Linked DNA regions of Cricetulus griseus. The protein of the gene in region 4 interacts with the protein of the main gene of each other region in a biochemical or structural test. Links are inferred from orthologs where the notes say so. Each region holds a gene or a part of one and is shown on either strand. Other genes may lie near its edges.

The links.
Region 1: the proteins of Ube2n (region 4) and Rnf8 form a complex in vitro, tested with the Homo sapiens proteins (7 studies listed by BioGRID). The link is inferred for Cricetulus griseus from reciprocal best matches to the Homo sapiens genes UBE2N and RNF8.
Region 2: the proteins of Ube2n (region 4) and Aurka form a complex in vitro, tested with the Homo sapiens proteins (3 studies listed by BioGRID, with this or other methods). The link is inferred for Cricetulus griseus from reciprocal best matches to the Homo sapiens genes UBE2N and AURKA.
Region 3: the proteins of Ube2n (region 4) and E3 ubiquitin-protein ligase ZNRF1 form a complex in vitro, tested with the Homo sapiens proteins (3 studies listed by BioGRID, with this or other methods). The link is inferred for Cricetulus griseus from reciprocal best matches to the Homo sapiens genes UBE2N and ZNRF1.

Annotation. Positions count from the first base shown.
Region 1 is NW_023276806.1:258,085,262-258,089,219, forward strand, and holds part of Rnf8 (E3 ubiquitin-protein ligase RNF8), read left to right. Parts: coding exon 1-591; intron 592-2,958; coding exon 2,959-3,021; intron 3,022-3,958. UniProt on the Homo sapiens protein: E3 ubiquitin-protein ligase that plays a key role in DNA damage signaling via 2 distinct roles: by mediating the 'Lys-63'-linked ubiquitination of histones H2A and H2AX and promoting the recruitment of DNA repair proteins at double-strand breaks (DSBs) sites, and by catalyzing 'Lys-48'-linked ubiquitination to remove target proteins from DNA damage sites.
Region 2 is NC_048599.1:6,985,803-6,989,760, forward strand, and holds part of Aurka (aurora kinase A), read left to right. Parts: intron 1-3,253; coding exon 3,254-3,428; intron 3,429-3,527; coding exon 3,528-3,713; 3' UTR 3,714-3,958. UniProt on the Homo sapiens protein: Mitotic serine/threonine kinase that contributes to the regulation of cell cycle progression.
Region 3 is NC_048596.1:188,041,758-188,045,715, reverse strand, and holds part of E3 ubiquitin-protein ligase ZNRF1, read right to left. Parts: intron 2,328-3,958; coding exon 2,222-2,327; intron 172-2,221; coding exon 114-171; 3' UTR 80-113; intron 1-79. UniProt on the Homo sapiens protein: E3 ubiquitin-protein ligase that plays a role in different processes including cell differentiation, receptor recycling or regulation of inflammation. Mediates the ubiquitination of AKT1 and GLUL, thereby playing a role in neuron cells differentiation.
Region 4 is NW_023276806.1:161,500,473-161,505,117, reverse strand, and holds the start of Ube2n (ubiquitin-conjugating enzyme E2 N), read right to left. Parts: upstream 2,911-4,645; 5' UTR 2,753-2,910; coding exon 2,723-2,752; intron 1-2,722. UniProt on the Homo sapiens protein: The UBE2V1-UBE2N and UBE2V2-UBE2N heterodimers catalyze the synthesis of non-canonical 'Lys-63'-linked polyubiquitin chains. This type of polyubiquitination does not lead to protein degradation by the proteasome.

The DNA.
Region 1 (3,958 bases), about 97 Mb from region 4:
AGGCTGTCTCCCTGCCTTGCCTTAAAGAATGACCAGACAGGGGGGAAATATAAAGACTTGAGAACTAAAAGGAAGTTCAATTTGGATGGATTAGAACATCCCGCTGCTGAAGGCCCCTCAGATCTCAAGTGCAAAGTAACTGCAGCCTCTTGTGATGCCGCTGAGCCAGTGAAGTTACTTGGGAAAGGTGAAGCAGCAAGTCAGCCCTTGGGATGTTTGTGTCCTAAGTTGACTTGTCTTGAGGCAAGTGACGAGGCCACTGGGACTCATGCTTGCCCTACTCTTCCAAAGGTCATCGAACGCTACCCTAAGAAGCAGAAGGCCTCCCACCCCTCAGCGTCTCAGAGCAGCCTTGAGCTGTTTAAGGTGAACATGTCCAGGATTCTGAAGCTGAAAACCCAGATGCACGAGAAGCAGATGGCTGTCCTGAGCGTGAGGAGGCAGACCCGAAAGGGGAGCTCGAAGAAGATCGTGAGGATGGAGAAGGAGCTGCAGGATTTACAGTCTCAGCTTTATTCGGAGCAGGCTCAGCAGCAAGCCCGAGTGGAGCAGCTGGAGAAGACCTTCCAGGAAGAGGAGCATCACCTCCAGGTACCACAGAGATGTAGCAGGCAGAGGTCCCCTCAGCTGGGCAGGCGCGTTGTGAACTTCTGGCTAGAGTTGTCTCTGAAGCAGGGACCAGATGCTAAACTTTGGAGACAGAGTGGGAGCAGAAAGCCAAGACAGAGTTTTGCAAAGGTTTACAGTTTCAGCACACAGATGAGGTCAGGAGCCAGTTAGGGTACCAAGATGAGGAAGGTGGCTCAGAAGCCAGCTGGGATGTGACTGATCTCTGATGGAAAGCTGAGGTGTTTCAGATCCAAGATAAATTCAGGGAAAAGCTGGATAAAGAGCAGGATACCACGAAACCGTAATGTCCTCAGGACTCATTGCTTTGCTCTATGTAGTTAAAACCAAGTCACAGACCAGAGCAAGTGCAGATCAGCTCATTGTACTGTCCTTGTACATGGCAGCTTGTTGGCTGTAAGACTGACTAGCTAACAGGGGTGGGGTGAGGAGATGTTGCTCTTGGTTTCTTTCGTCTAGTCCCTCAACCGATTTGCCCCAAAATAAACACACAGATGTTATATTAATTATAAAACTGTTGGCCAATGGCTAGGGCTTCTTATTGGCTAGCGATGTCTTAATTACTAACCCATTTCTATTAATCTAAGTATTTCCACGTGGTCTTATCTTACCAGAGAAGGGTCCGGACCTCTTAACTCCTTTGGTGATTACATGTGATCTCCTAGTGGGATTTCTCTGCCTACCTTTCCCAGAATTCTCCTTGTCTCCTAGTCCCGCCCATCTCCCTGCCTCTATTGGCCACAATGTTTTATTCATCAACCAATAAGAGAAAACATATCCAGAAGGACATCCTCCATCAGGGGGATGATGGTTTTGTTCCTATTTTGGTCAGTCAGAATGCCATGGAAAGGTACACAATCGGCTGAGTGATAAGATGTATCTGAGTGGTTCGGAGAAAGGACCACGAATGTGCTCATCTCCAAATAATCCTGTCCCTGTTTAAAATGTCACTTCCTGTGTGGCAGGAGCCTTATCAGTTGTTTAGGTAATGGTGAGTGTCAATTCCCTACTGCCGACTTAGAACCAAGAAGGATCAGTACAGCTGAGGTGAAAGGTGTTTTTATCCTGCTTGGGTCTCTCTGGGCAAGGAACAGCCTGTAATAGTGTGAGCTTATTTCTGGAGAATTTATAAATTTCATTCTAATCTCTGCCATCCCCTTGAACTGGTCGGATTAGCTAAAGCCATTGGCTATATAGGTGTGTTCAGGTCATGTGTGGTGGACGTGCTTGGCTTCTGTTTCCCTGTCTGCTTTGTGCCTAGAGTTAACATGCGTGGCGTGGCTACACTGTGGGCTAAAGATACAGCTTCGAAGTCTTTTTTTTTTTTTTTTTTTTTTTTGGAGCAGACGGATAAAGACGGGGAGACTGGTTTAGCGATTTTTTTTTTTTTTTTTTTGCCTGACTTCGAGAAGCAAATTGGGTTCTTTGTGTCAGCTGCATCTCCCTCTGCCCTGGGTGTAGCCTGGCCTGTCACCATTCCAGAAGCTGTTGCCCCCTGCTTCATGCTTGGTGTTTGGAGCACCATATTGCCTGACACTCTATTTGGAATTCTGCTTGGTATTAAAATGCTTAGTTTTTTTGTTTTTTGTTTTTTGTTTTTTTAGGTGGTTTTTTGAGGTAGGATTGCTCTGTGACTTTGGAGGCTGTCTTGGAACTCGCTCTTTGTAGACCAGGCTGGTCTCGAACTCACAGAGACCCGCCTGCCTCTGCTCCCGACTTAGTGTTGTTTTTAATCGTTGTAATTTATCTTGTTGAGACAATATATGCGGTAACATTGGAAAAATGGTTTTCAGGGTGGTGCATTAAATTATGAACGATTCAAAATCTCCCACCCTGTAGGTAATCCCTAAGGCAGAGAGAACACAGGCTGTGTGGAAGAAGCTGGCCACAGATGAGTGGCAGTTTGAATGGCTGCAGAGGAAAGTTGACAGAGGTTCAGGCTAGGGCAGAGAGAAAGTGGCTTGTGGAGTGTGGTCAGTGTGGAGAGACAGAGCATGGAAACGTGGTGGGTGCCGGCCTGGGGGGTTGCACTTGTGGCTCAGTTTTAGCCATTTGAGTATCATGGCATTAGGTAATAGAAGAAGCTTAAACTGTCACCCAGTGGTCTTCAAGGCCACTCGGCTGGTGGCTTGAAGGTGACATCCCTGAGCATGCAGTGCTTGAGCAAGTAACACTGTTCAGAGCCTTTGCTGACAACAGCTTGAAGGAAAATGGGGATTTTTCTGTCGCTCCCTGCCCCATGCTGTTCCTTGTCACATCTGCTTCTTGCAGGATTTTGTTCCCTTTCCCTGTCGACTGCAGGGAAACCTTCATCTTGTTTTGGCTTTTCAGGGTTTGGAGAAAGAGCAAGGAGAAGAGGACCTGAAGCAGCAGCTGGTCCAGGCTCTGCAGGAGGTAACCTAAATCTCTCCCATTTCCAGAGGCTGTGGTAGTTGGCGAGTGGGGAATGGCAGGCATCACTGGCCACTAGCTGCCTCCACCTCTTAACCTACTGCTCTGTGATCTCCAGCCTGCAAACAGAACAGGTAGCAGATGCTCTCACCATCAGCTTGGAGACTTGTAGCCTCACAGATACACACCAGATCTCAGCATGGAAACACAGGTCTTCTTCATCAAGCAGGAGCCACTCTGGTGATGACGGAACACCCTGTAGAAACTGGGGAGCTCTCTGGAATAGTGAGGACAACTGAGGGGAGGGGAGATGTTAGCTAAGGTCTGGGCCTGAGGGCCTTTGTACCTCACTATCCCTGCACTGTGGCATCCAGAAACCATTCAAGAGTGTTCCAGTCGAGCATTTTAGGTCAGTTTGAGAATGTCAGTCTAAAGCAAAAAACATCCACTTGACAAAATAGTGACACAGCATCAAGTCCCCTAGAAGACTGCTTGTAATTTGTTGTTGGACACTGTGGCTGCTTTTGTATGGCTACCTCTTATGTGCTGTTGTGTATCTTTAAAACTTGCTTCAGCTGGACGTAGTGGCACACACCTTTAATCCCAGCACTTGGAAGCAGAAGCAGGGGAATATTTATGAGTGTGAGTTCAAGGTCAGCCTAATCTACAGATCGAGACCCTGTCTCAAAAACAGACAACAGCAACAACAACAACAAAAACGCTTGCTTCATCTTTGAGCTTTGATTATGATGAGTAGTTTGCTGCAAGTTTAACCGAAAGGTTCACGACATGATGGTTAACCCTCCTTGAGCACACTGAGCATCAGCTTTGCGAACAGACTTGCTCAGGGCGCATCTTTCTATTTGCTTATTGCAGATCTGTGCCTCAGCCTTGTCGCTGCTAACAGATATGTGAGAAGGAGCCTGCCTTGATTTCCCTG
Region 2 (3,958 bases), on a different chromosome or scaffold from region 4:
GACTCCAGCCAAATTGTCCTCCTGTGGAAGGCTTCCTCACATAGGTGCACATACACCCCAATGCAAATAAATGTTGTTTAAAAAAATGTAAAGCCTGTTTTAAAAAGTAGCATCATTTAAGGTCACTTCTGTTTGTCTCCAGCTGCACTGTGGCAGGTTTTTTGAACTGATGACATCAGTGGGCGCTCCTGCCTACCAGTGAAACAAACACCAGAGAGCTATAGTGTGTGGGGCTGTGTGATTAGCCAGGACTGTGGTGACTCCAGTGTAAAGCCACAGCTTGCAGGTTTTAGGAGAGATAATAGGTATGAATCTTGACAGTTGCTCCAACTGCCTCTCAAACTCAGTCCCCAGCATAGTTGCCTGGTTATTGGGGACCACCTTTTGAGGATCCCAGAGTGGTTGTGGGGGCACAGACATGTCTGAGTGTGCCCCACACCATCTCAGCACCAGGGGCCTCCACTGTGCTCCCGGCTTGCTCCAGCTGTGGTCTTCAAAGCCCAAGTGGATAGAAAACGCTGGATTGGTGATGGCAGCAGAGTCCATTGCTCCATCCCAGAGCACTGGGCACTGTGGCTTTGGCTTCGTGGATAGTTAAAGTCAGTTGTAGATCAAGATGTTTTCAGTGTGCATTCCTTAAGACAGAGGCACTCTGCAGTCACTGCCGCTAATGTTAGCTGAATTCTTAGATTTCTTAAGCTAAGAATTTTAGCTTAAGAATTTTATGGCTACTTTTAAATCAGAACACACACACACAAACACACACACACACCTACCTCTACCTCTCCCTCTCCCTCTGTTGAAAGTGTGAGAGAGAAATTTAACTGAGCCCAGTGTGCTGGTGTACACTTTAATCTCAGGAACTGACAGGCTGAGAGAGGAGGGGACCTCAAGTTGGAGTCAGTCTGGATAGACTGTCTTGAAAACAATTCAGCCAGGTGTGGTGGCAACACCTACAATCCCAGAAGCAGCTAGAAGGCTGGGGCCAGGGGGCCTTGGAGGTCAGTCTGGGCTCATGTAGCAAAATGCTTTTTAAAAAATTTTTAAATTTTTAAAAAATGGAGAGGTGGCTTAGCACTGGCTGCTCTTGCAGAGGACCTGGGTTCAGTTCCTAGTACCCATGTGGTGGCTCACAATTGTAACTCCAGTTCTAGGAGATGCAATGCCCTTTCTGGGTCTCCTTGGACACAACATTTATGTGCATAGACAGATAGGCAAAACACATGTAAAATAAAAATGAAATCTTTAAACTCCCTAACCTAAAACAGCCGAAGGGTTAAAGATCCCAGTGAAATTGATGCAGTATGGACTGCCTCCCGCAGCTTGTAGCCCCTTACATTTCATTATTATCTTTTATTTTAGAGGCACTCATATTTAAATATCCATCCCCCCATTCCCTCACCCTCCCGCCCTCCCTTGTTCCCTTGGGGGAGGGCCTAAGCCCTCCTTGCTGTATCTGGGCTGCAATAGTCTCCCTCCATAGGGAATGGGCTCCCAAAGTCCATTTGTGCTCTAGGGTTAAAGACTGGCTCCACTGTCAGAGGTCTCATAGACTGCCCTGGCCTCCTAGCTGGCGCCCACATTCAGAGTGCTTGGTTTGGTCCAATGCTGTTTCCCCAGCTTTATGACGAGGGTCTCCATGCTCTCACTAGGTCAGGTCAACTGTTTCTCCAGCAGTCTTGGCTCCTTTGCTCATCCCTCCTCCCTTTCTGCAAAAGGATTCCAGGAGTATTGTTCAGTGCTTAGCTGTGGGTGCCTGTTTCTGCTTCGAACAGCTACTGGATGAAGGCTCTAGGAATAGTATCCAGGGTAGACATCATTCTCATTATAGGGGAAGGGCATCAATGGCATCCTCTCCACCACTGCCTGGATTCTTAGTTGGGGTCATCCCTGTGGATCCCCTAACATTTCCCCTGCGCCAGACCTCTCTCCACACGTGCACTGTCTCCCTCTATGAAGGCCTCTCCTTTCTTGCCCTCCTCTGTTCCTCCCCTGTCTCAGGCCTCTTGTTCTCCTCCCCACTCTCTTTCTTCTCTTCCCACCTCCTTTCTCCCCCCACTCCAACTTTGCTCAGGGGTTCTTGTCCACCTCCCCTTCTTCAAGGAACTATGCAATCTTCTCTTGGGGTCCTCCTCGTTTCCTAGCTCCTCTGGCAGTATGGATTGTAGACTGGTAATCCTTTGATGTCTAAAAATCACATATGAGTAATACAATGTTTGTCTTTTTTGTGACTGGGTTACCTCACTCAGGATGGTTTCTTCTAGTTCCATCCATTTTCCTGCAAATTTCAAGATTCCATTGTTTTTTTTCTTCTCAATAGTTCTCCATTGTGTAAATGTACCACATTTTCTCTATCCTTTCTTCAGTTGAGGGACATCTAGGTTGCTTCCCGGTTTTGGCTATTTCAAATAATGCTGCTATGAACATAGTTGAACAGATGTCCTTATTGTATGAATGTGCATTCTTTGGGTATATGCCCAAGAGTGGAATTGCTGGATCTTGAGGTAGACTGATTCCCATTTTCCTGAGACCACCATACTGATTTCCAAAATGTTGTACAAGTTTGCACTCCCACCAGCAGTGGAGAAGTGTTCCCCTTTCTCCACATCCTCTCCAGCATAAACTGTCATTAGTGTTATGATTTAGCCATTCTGACAGGAGTAAGATGGTGTCTCAGAGTGGTTTTGAGTTGCATTTCCCTGATGGCCAAGGATGTTGAGCTCTTCCAGCCATTTTAGATTCCTCTGTTAACGATTCCTCTCTAGGGCATATACCCAAAGAATGCACCGTCTAAAATGACCCCTTGTATTTCCAAGACTTTCCTTTTCTATCCCCGCTTCACTGAGACAATCTCACACTAGCCCAGGTTGGCTTTGAGCCTGTCAGTCCTCTTGCCTCATCCTACCGGATGTTGGAATTACAGGTGTGACCTGAGAGCTCATGCGGACTCCAAAGAATGTTTACAGAGAACACTGCATAGCAACTTCGTCATTGTTTTCTGGGATGGGTCTTGCTTCAAAGCCCAGCCTGGCTTTGGGATGAGAGAAGAACATTGTTTTCTTTAGATTTCCTAAGAGGTCCTGGGGTTGGTCTGGGGGAGGCGTGGTGGCTAGCGTGTGACCTTACACACTCCCTGCCATCCATTCCCTACAAGTGGGGATGCAGGTGAGCACCTGTGTGACAGCAGTTCCTGGGTCTGGGGTGCTCACACCACGTGATCATGTATGTCAGAGTGCGTCAACCTTGGTTTCAGGAGAACCACACTGTGTGGCACCCTGGACTACCTGCCGCCCGAGATGATTGAAGGCCGGATGCATGATGAGAAGGTGGACCTCTGGAGCCTGGGTGTCCTGTGCTATGAGTTCCTGGTTGGGATGCCTCCTTTCGAGGCACACACCCACCAGGAGACCTACAGAAGGATATCACGGGTAAGGCGCTGCTCCTCAGTCCCTGCCCTGCCGAGGGCTGCTGTTGACTGGTGCACACCTCTGACTCTTGTTAGTGTCATTTTGTCATTTATTTTGCAGGTTGAGTTCACATTCCCTGACTTTGTGACTGAGGGAGCCAGGGACCTCATTTCAAGACTGTTAAAGCACAACTCAAGTCAGAGGCTAACACTAGCAGAAGTCCTTGAGCATCCCTGGGTCAAAGCTAATTCCTCAAAACCTTCGGCTGGCCAAAAAAGCAAAGAGCTAACTAGTACATCATCTTAGGGAATCTGGAACCCTGGCCTCTGTGCAGCTGTGAGAAACGCCCCATCAAGAGAGACCTGGGGACCATCATCGTTGCCCTCAGAACACCCTGCGGAGCAGCCAGTCCCTGGCCGTGCATCCAGGAGGTCCCACCTGACCATGCGACATTGCCCAAGCCCCATGAACCATGCTGCTTTTCCTGGTTCAGCAATCTGGAGGGAAGACTCACTGCAGCAGTCTCTGTGGTTTATGTCCCCAAGATGTCC
Region 3 (3,958 bases), on a different chromosome or scaffold from region 4:
CAGGCAGCCTGGCCCTTCTCCCCCAGCTCCCAGAAACTTGACCCTTTAAGTCCAGAGTCCCCACCAACTATAGGCTCACCTTTGAGAGGAGTCAGCAAGCCAGCCCAGCAGGGTCAGTCAGCAGGATGCTCTGGACAAGATCTGTTCACTTCAAACCAGGAGTCTATGCAGCTGGAGTGGGTACCAAGGGGAGACACATCAGCTGCTGACAACACTGCTCCTGCCAAGGGCGCCTGTCAAGGGGTTAGACTCTCGGGACGGACTTTCTAAATCTCTCCTGAAAGGACCCCGGGGGAAAATCATTACTCGTTGCTGCAGGAAAGGGAACAATATCAAGAATGATGAATGTACAGGGGTGGAGGTGGAGCTGGAGAGTAGGGTCAGTGATTGAGAGTGCACACTGCTCTTCCAGATGATCCAAGTTCAGTTCACAGCCCCATAAAGGCAACCCCAGGGGGATCTGACTCCTCTGGCCTTGGTAGGATCCTGCACTCAGATGCATGTACACACAGATGCGCACACATACACACAATTTAAAACTAATACACACACACACACACACACACACACACACACACACACACACACACTATAACACACACACATATTATAACACACACACACACATTATAACACTAACACACACACACACACACACACACACACACACACACACACATACACACACGACCCTGGGGGTTGGGGAGATAGCTCAGTGGTTAAGAGCCCTAGCTGCTCTTTCAGAAGAGCAAGGTTCAGTTCTTAGCACTCACATAGTGGCTCACAAACATCTTTAACTCTAGCTCCTGGGGATTCAATGCCCTCTTCTGGTCTCAGTGGGCACCAGGCACACACATCATGTAAGTATATGCACATCAAATAAAATAAGGTGAGTATGATGGTGGTACACAACTTTAACCCCAGTATTCAGGAGGCAAAAGCAGGTGATCTCTGTAAGTTCAAGGCCAGCCTAATCTACATAGTGAGACCCTGCCTTAATAAATCAAATAAATAAGTTTTTTAAGAAGAAAAAAAAAAAATCCAAGAATGATCCTGGCTCAGCAGGAGGCAGGGGCAGTAGGGCAGGCTCTGGTAGATCTGACTTTGCAGAAAGGACAAGAGTGGCCCAAATCCCAAGTACAAGAAGCCAGGACAGCAACAGTTAACACTAAGAAGGTGAAAGCAGGTGGACTACATATGGTAGCCTGTTACCTGTTTCTAAGGAGCGGCAGGAAGTGGGACCAGATGAGAGGCTGGCAGCGATAAGCATGGCCAGATCTGGGGCGATGAGGGCACCCCTCTCAGGAGCTCCAAGCCTTCCTAGCTTAGCTACAACAGTAGGAAGGGGAGCTAGACCCTTGGGCTCTTTGACACTGCTAAATAAGGAAGCCTGGGAAGCAGTGTAGGAAGGCCTCACTCTCTAGAGTTTATAGAGGTCTGTCTGCATCAAAGAAGAAACAGCAAGTGCCTCAAGAAACTGTCCTGATGTGTAAACCCACATCTGGGCATTTTTAAAGAGAGTAACCAAACAGATAATTTGCTTATGTCTTCCTGGTTCTGGTTAGTGCCCCTTTGGGATGATACAGGGATCTATGGTGGTAACCAAAACAAGAACCACAGTTCCCCCGTAAGTCAATCACACACCAGGCACAGCTATGACACCAAAGACCAATAGTCATAGGTTGGGCTTAGAAAAGCCCCCATACTAGGAAACTGTGGGCTGGAGAAGCAGATGGTAGCCACAGGAACACAGGGTGTACTCCTGTCCTGGGCAAGGAGGTGTCATTTTTCCAGTTAGAAAATCAAACAAACAAACAAAAACCCCAGAAGGATACTGCTGAAGGCAAAGGACAAATCTTGACCTGGCTAATTATAGCAGTTTTTGGTACTTACAGGTAGTGGCTTTTCCTGCCTCCTGGCCCTTGGGGGAGGAGGGTGTTGTGCAGATCAGCAAGAATAGCCATTCTACCCTTGCTACCTCTCTCTCTGCCAGATAGGGTTCAGAGGTGGGATCTAAATTAGGTCTGCCCATGGCTCTACCATCTGAACTGCTGAAGCAGAGCTGAACCTTGGGCAATTCACCTCCCCCCTGCCCTTGCAATGACTGAGCCTCCCACCAGCATGGAAGATGCCTGACTCCTATCAGAGAGTAAAGGGTATACAGGCCATCCCATAACCAAAGAGGACTGGATGGCTGGTGAAGGCAATCTACCCCTTGTACCTTTTGTGATAGATGCACAGGCAAGGCAGCCTGGCTATCGTGTCCCCCTGAAGCAGCTCTTCCAGGCAGATCACACACTCACCCGCATCTTTAGTCAGCACATCATCTGTAAGAGAGACAAGGAGACCAACAGGGTTAATCTCCAGCGGGTGGGTGGCACAGAGCAAACACAGGTCTAGAACTACTTGTATTATCTAAACCACTATGCTTCATGTGCTAGGGAACACAGCAATGGGAGGAATACGCAATCATTAGAAGAGCCTTCTGACCCAGAAGCCCAAGCATCAGGGGTATGGAAGAAAACAGTGCTTACTCAGACTGTTCAAGGACATCTTTGGAGAAGTTCACAGTAATATGAGCCAAAGGCATAGTCTGGGGTGGGAGGGATTACATTCCAGACAAAGGAAACTGTCAGACACCCAGGAACTTCAAGAAGTTTGCTAAGACAGGTTGCAAAGAGACTCAAAGAGTCCTAGGCAGGGGTGAAATCAAGTCCCAAGGGCAGAATTGTGCTGTGCTGTGCTGTGCTATGCTGAACCTCATCTCTTTTGCTTAGCCAGGAGGCACTAGAGGTGGAAAAGGGAGCTCACTCTGGAGGCCAACTCTGAGCATGGAGCAACAGCACATGTGCTAACAAGGGTCAGGCAATAGCCTGCATATGCCATTAAGAGACTTCACAGGAAAAGGGAAGAATAGAGAGTGATGAATCCAGAGGTGACTATTGAGTATCTCCACAAGGCTGTAAGTATCCTTTAGTCTAGATGTGGGGTTCAGATTAGATGTGGGGCAACATGTACAGAGAACAGACTAAAGAGACTGTCCAAGGAGAAAGTTTACACTAAACTCCAATAAAGCCACAGACAGGCCTGATAATGCAGAGGTGACATGGATCACACCCAAGTCCCCCCAAACCATAACACAACACCAAATGAGCAGGCTATGGCTGTTCAGGAAGGCGAGCTTAGATCACTTTCCACCCCATGGGGCATCAGTCCCAAAAGGTAATAGTAATACATAATGATACTCTGTGTCTATGTTTTCCTTTGAGCTGCAGGATCTTCCAAGCTAGGCATGGGACACAGTGTCATGTTCATCTTGTGAATGAGGAAACCCAGAGAAAACATATGTCAGGGGACTTGAGAATGGTCCAGGATTGGGGTCCTTTGTTGTGGTGACCTCTCTTCTCACTGTTGTTTGAGTCCTAATTATTTTGGTGGAAAGAAAACTATTAAGAACCCATAAAATATATTCAGTTGGGCAGTGGTGGCATATGCCTTTAATTCCAGCACTTAGGAGGCCAGTCTGGCCTACAGAGTGAGTTCCAGGACAGCCAGGGCTATACATTGAAACCCTGTCTCAACAACAACAACAAACCAATCAAACAAACGAAAATAAATTTTAAAAAGTTCACTGATGAGGTGGTTTGAATAGGAATGGCCCTCATAGGCTCATATATTTGAATGCTTGGTCACTAGCAAGTGGTGTGCCCTGACAGGGATTAGGAGATAATGGCCTTACTGAAGGAAGTGTGTCACTAGGGATGAGCTTTGGGGTTTCAAATGCTCAAGTCAGGCTCAGTGCCTCTTTCTTCCTGCTGTTTCAGATAGCTGTTCCGCTATCTCTCCAGCATCATGTCTGCCTGCATGCTGCCATGCTTCTTGCCACCATGATAATGTATTAATATTAAACCCTTGAAACTGTAAGCCAGCTCCAATTAAATGTTTTACTTTGTAAGAG
Region 4 (4,645 bases):
ATAGTAAATATTATCCTTTGAAAGCCAAAGTCTACCAAGAAATAAAATAATCCAATAGAAAAAAGTATGTCCCTATGGCTTCATCGACCCTTACCCACTTACTGTTCTAGTCACATAGACCCCAGTATTGTATTAACCTGTTTGAAACAAAGTCTCATATATTCTAGACAGGCCTCAACCCCCTAAGCAGCCAGGGATGATAAACTTCTAAACCCTCCTTCCTCTATTACATTAGAATCATAAGTATAAAACACCATGACAGACAAGTGTGGTGGCACACATCTTTAATCCCAGCACTCGGGAGGCAGAGGCAGGTGGGTCTCTGTCAGTTCCAGGCCAGCCTGGTCTACAGACGAGTGCCAGGACAGGCTCCAAAGAGAAACCCTGTCTTGGGGGGAAAAAAAAAAGTAACACTTAAATACAATACCAAAACTGGTTTGTGTGCAGTATTAAGGGTAGAACTCAGAAAGCTTGCAAGCACCATATCTGAGCACTCTCTGGCCCAAAAGTTACTTTTCAAAATAAATTTTAATGTAAATACGTTTTCTGCTTGAGGTGTTGCTTGGTGGTAAAGCATTTGCAGAGCACATACAAAGTCCTAGCTAGTTTCAATTCAATCCCTAACAGTAGAAAAAGCATATTTTTAACTGATTATAGAACCTACATAATATAAAAATGGATCTAAAAATTATTCTAGGGGGTGTCAGTGGCACACACCTTTAATCCCAGCACTGGGGAGGAAGAGGCAGGAGGATCTCTGGGAGTTCCAGGCCAGCCTGGTCTACAGAGTGAGTTCCAGTACAACCTCCAAAGCTACACAGAGAAACCCTGCTTCGAAAACAAACAAAAAAATTATTCTAATCTCTTAACCTGCCCTATTGATGGGGGAAAAAAAAAAAATCCTTTAAAGCTATAAGTACTGAAGTCAATTAATATTACATAAATTAGAGGTGGGTGCAATAAAATACTGTAAAGATTGTATGTCTCAGCACGAGTTTACCACTACCTTGTTTTAAAATAGCAAAATGGCAACACTGAATATATGCTTAAGCATTGTGTACCAAATGAATTAAACAAGCTCCTCAACATCCTACTTTAAACCATTTCTGTAAATTTATAGCCAATATTCCACAGAATTTATTTTCCCAATCAAGACTTTTGTATTACTGCAGAATATTAATCTTCACAATCAAGCAAAAATCAAAAAAAAAAAAAAAAACTACACCAACTGTTAGGTTCAGTGTGAATTTTAGAGAATTATATTCATTATCAATCTGTGGTATGTTTAGTCCCTAACCAAACAATAAAAACCCGGTGGTCTGGTGGGAAGCAATCATTTTTCAAATGGAATCCTGATTAACATGATCACTAGTGTTCATGTCTCTGTATCAGAATTAAACGAGTCAGGACTTTCCAACGCACGACCTAACAATTAAAATCTACTTTGAAAGAATCTGAGATTCATAATATAGCAGTAAAAGTTTATGTCAAGACTACAGTGCTCGTTGACAATTTATTCTTTCTTCCTAAGAATGTCTTATAAATGGTCTTGTTTTCTAATTTAAGCACCTTTCTGTCATACACCCAACCTCACACCCATTTGTGACTGCCCGAGGGACTAGACAGTGCATCACATCCTTCAAAGGGGCCCTCGATATAATTAGTACAAATCTCGCCCAAAACTTCAGAAGAGTGAACAGTGCTGTAAATTCAAGCTCACTAGATTACAGCAAGCAAAACGAAGCTTCAATATGGGCATATCACTGGCATGGTGAGCAGTGTAGGGTTTTTTTTTTTTTAACTAAATATCCTTCATAAAAACAGATGCCTATCGTGTCTGAAGTCTCAACGCTGTTATGTAAAGACTTCAGAAAATCAAGATACGAGTTTTTTCATGGTTCCATACGTACTCACCAAAACACAGTATTCCTAAAGAGCCTCGAGACCGCTTAGTATACGGAAGGCGCACGAAAACAGAGGCGAACTATTACAGATCATCCCCATAACCGAGATGCTTTGGGCTGAACCAGTGCCTCGGAACAGAAAACAGTTGGCCAAAAAAATAAAGAAAGAAAAGAAAAAAGAGTTTGCCAACCGGAGTAAAATCACTTCGCGGAGATAACCGGCAGCAACGCGGGGAAGCGAACACGGCGGGCAGGACACCCACCCGGGCGCCAAGCCCCCGGCGCCGCCGACCGCGGGCAGCCAGGACGAACATGTGCGGTCGGCGGCTGGACTCGCGGCCCGCGGCCCCGCCCGGTTCTCGGGGCCGGTTCATTCATTCTGCACCCGAGACCGCCGACCAGGAGAAGGGGGCTCCGGGGCGAAGCGGCCAGCCCAGGCCACAACCCACGCCCGGAGTCCAGGCCACGCCGCGATTCCCGCCCGCGGGTGAAGAAAGCCTGGCGAGGCCCGCGCCGGTCCCGCGCCAGACGCCAAGCCCGCAGCCCCGCCCTCCACCCGGCACCGGCACCGGCCTGGCCTCCCGTGCCGCGCGCGGCCTCGCAGCCCGAGAGCCCCCGGCGTCCGGCTTTCAGCGGCGGCCGGAAGTCTCCTCGGCGCCCCCTCCTCAGCGCCCGACTTCCCCGCCGCCGAGGCCAGACCCTTCTCCGCGATGCCTCGGGCCCCTCAGCGGCTGCCGAGTGAAGCGTATGGCCGCGCGGCCCGGCGCGTTGGTGGAGGAGAGCCGAGCGGGAGGCCCGAAGCCCGCCTGGGCGGTTACCTTAATGATCCTGCGGGGCAGCCCGGCCATCTTGTCAGATCCCGAGTTCGGCCTCTGCTCTTGTCTCCGGCTCCGCTCGCCTCACGCACGAGTGGAAGTCCCGGACTCCACTTCCGGGGGACGTCGCCGCGCCCGCCGCCGCTGCCTCCGCCGAGGCCCCTCGGGAAATGTAGTCCCTGCTTGGACGCGGGCTTCGGGCGGCCTTCCGTCCGACCTGATGGCCCCCTCCCCCGCACTCCCCGCCCCAACCCCAGCCGGGGGTGGCGGAAGTGACGCTCCGCGGCGGGGCAGGGACTTGGGGGAGGCGGCGCCAGGCAGCGCCGAGCTGCTTCGCCCGCGGCAGAATCTGCGCGAGACTGGGTGTCCGGCGTCCACGAGTAGCGTACGTGCGACCGACCACGCCTGCGCCGGTGGGCGACGTAACAAAGGCCCGGCCCCCGGCGTAGCTCATTCATTCATTCGTTCCATTTGTTCATTCAATGTTCCCGCATTGCGCGGCGGGCTGACGCTGCGCCGCATCTCCGTCGACCTGGTGATCGGGGGGCTTGTTCCAAACGAGAAGCACTCGATGGCAAAGCTTCTAACTGGGAAACTGGTTGTCAAGGCCCTGACAAATAATTCTAAATGTTTTAATTTCACATAAAAAAAAAAGGGGGGGGGCCTCGCCTGGCGGTGTGGCGCACGCCTTTAATCCCAGCACTTAGGAGGCGGAGGCGGGAGGATCTCTGAGTTCGAGGTCAGCCTGGTCTAAAAAGCAAGTTGCAGGACAGGCTCCAAAGTTACACAGAGAAGCCCTGTCTTGATAAGCAAACAATCAACAAAAAAAGGGAGGGGGGCTCTCCGACCTGTCCCCCACCCCAAAAGGATTTGCAACAAGTAGGGGAGTAATCCCTAAAGGAGTAGGAGTACCTTCAGAGTGAAGGCCCTAAAAGTGGAGGGGTCCCAAAAGGGATTGTTGGGTGTTTTCATTTCTTTTCCTGTTGCTGTGATAAAATATCCTGTAGCACGAATAATAGTTGATATTGATAATAAAAACTCAGAGACAGATATTGAGGTTAAGGCTGAAGATCAGAAAAACAAAGTGGCCAGCCACTAGAGAGTTCTCACCTCTACCAAAGCTCAGAAGGAAGGGGAGATCCTTGTCCTCAGACTGCATTGCTCTCCACCAACCTCTAAATCCAAGCTTTCCTGTCTCCTTCTGCCTTATGATTCCTCTCTCTCCACCTCCCTACAGGTTTTCCTAGGGTGGTGGTGAACGCAGATCCATCTGCCTCTGTCTTCTGGGATTAAAGGTGTGTGCCACCAACTGTCTGGCCTGAATGGCTGTGGCTAGCTTTGCACTCTGATCTTCAAGCAAGCTTTATTAGATCATAAAATATCACCACAATACTCCACAAGGCAACTTAAAGGAAAAGGGGTTAATTTCAGTTCAAAGGGGATAATCACCATAGTTAAGGACAGCTGGTCACATCGAATTTTTCATGCTAGTGCTTACCTCTCTGTTTATACAGCCCAGGTGACAACCACAATTAAGATGGGTGTCCATACATCAATTAAGTCCCCCACAGGCATGCCCAGAGGCTTTTTTCCCTAGGTGTTTCTAGATTCTATCAAGTTAACAACACTAACATACATGGTTTGGTGCCTTCAGGGGCCAGATCCACAGAACTGGACTTAAGAATGGTTGTGAGCCTCCAGGTGGGTCCTCTGCCAGAGAACCAAGTGCTCTTTACTGCAGAACCGTTTCTCCAGCTCCTTTCATGAGACTTAAGGGGCTGTTGCTGCTTCCATTTTAACGTGCTGTTTAGATGCTGTTAACGTTTTCTAAGGTTGTAGCAAAAACAATGCAGCTGCTTTCCCAGGCAGGTCTGCCAAAGCACAGGCCTCACCTAACCCTGGCTGCCAGCACAGTGACACAAAGAG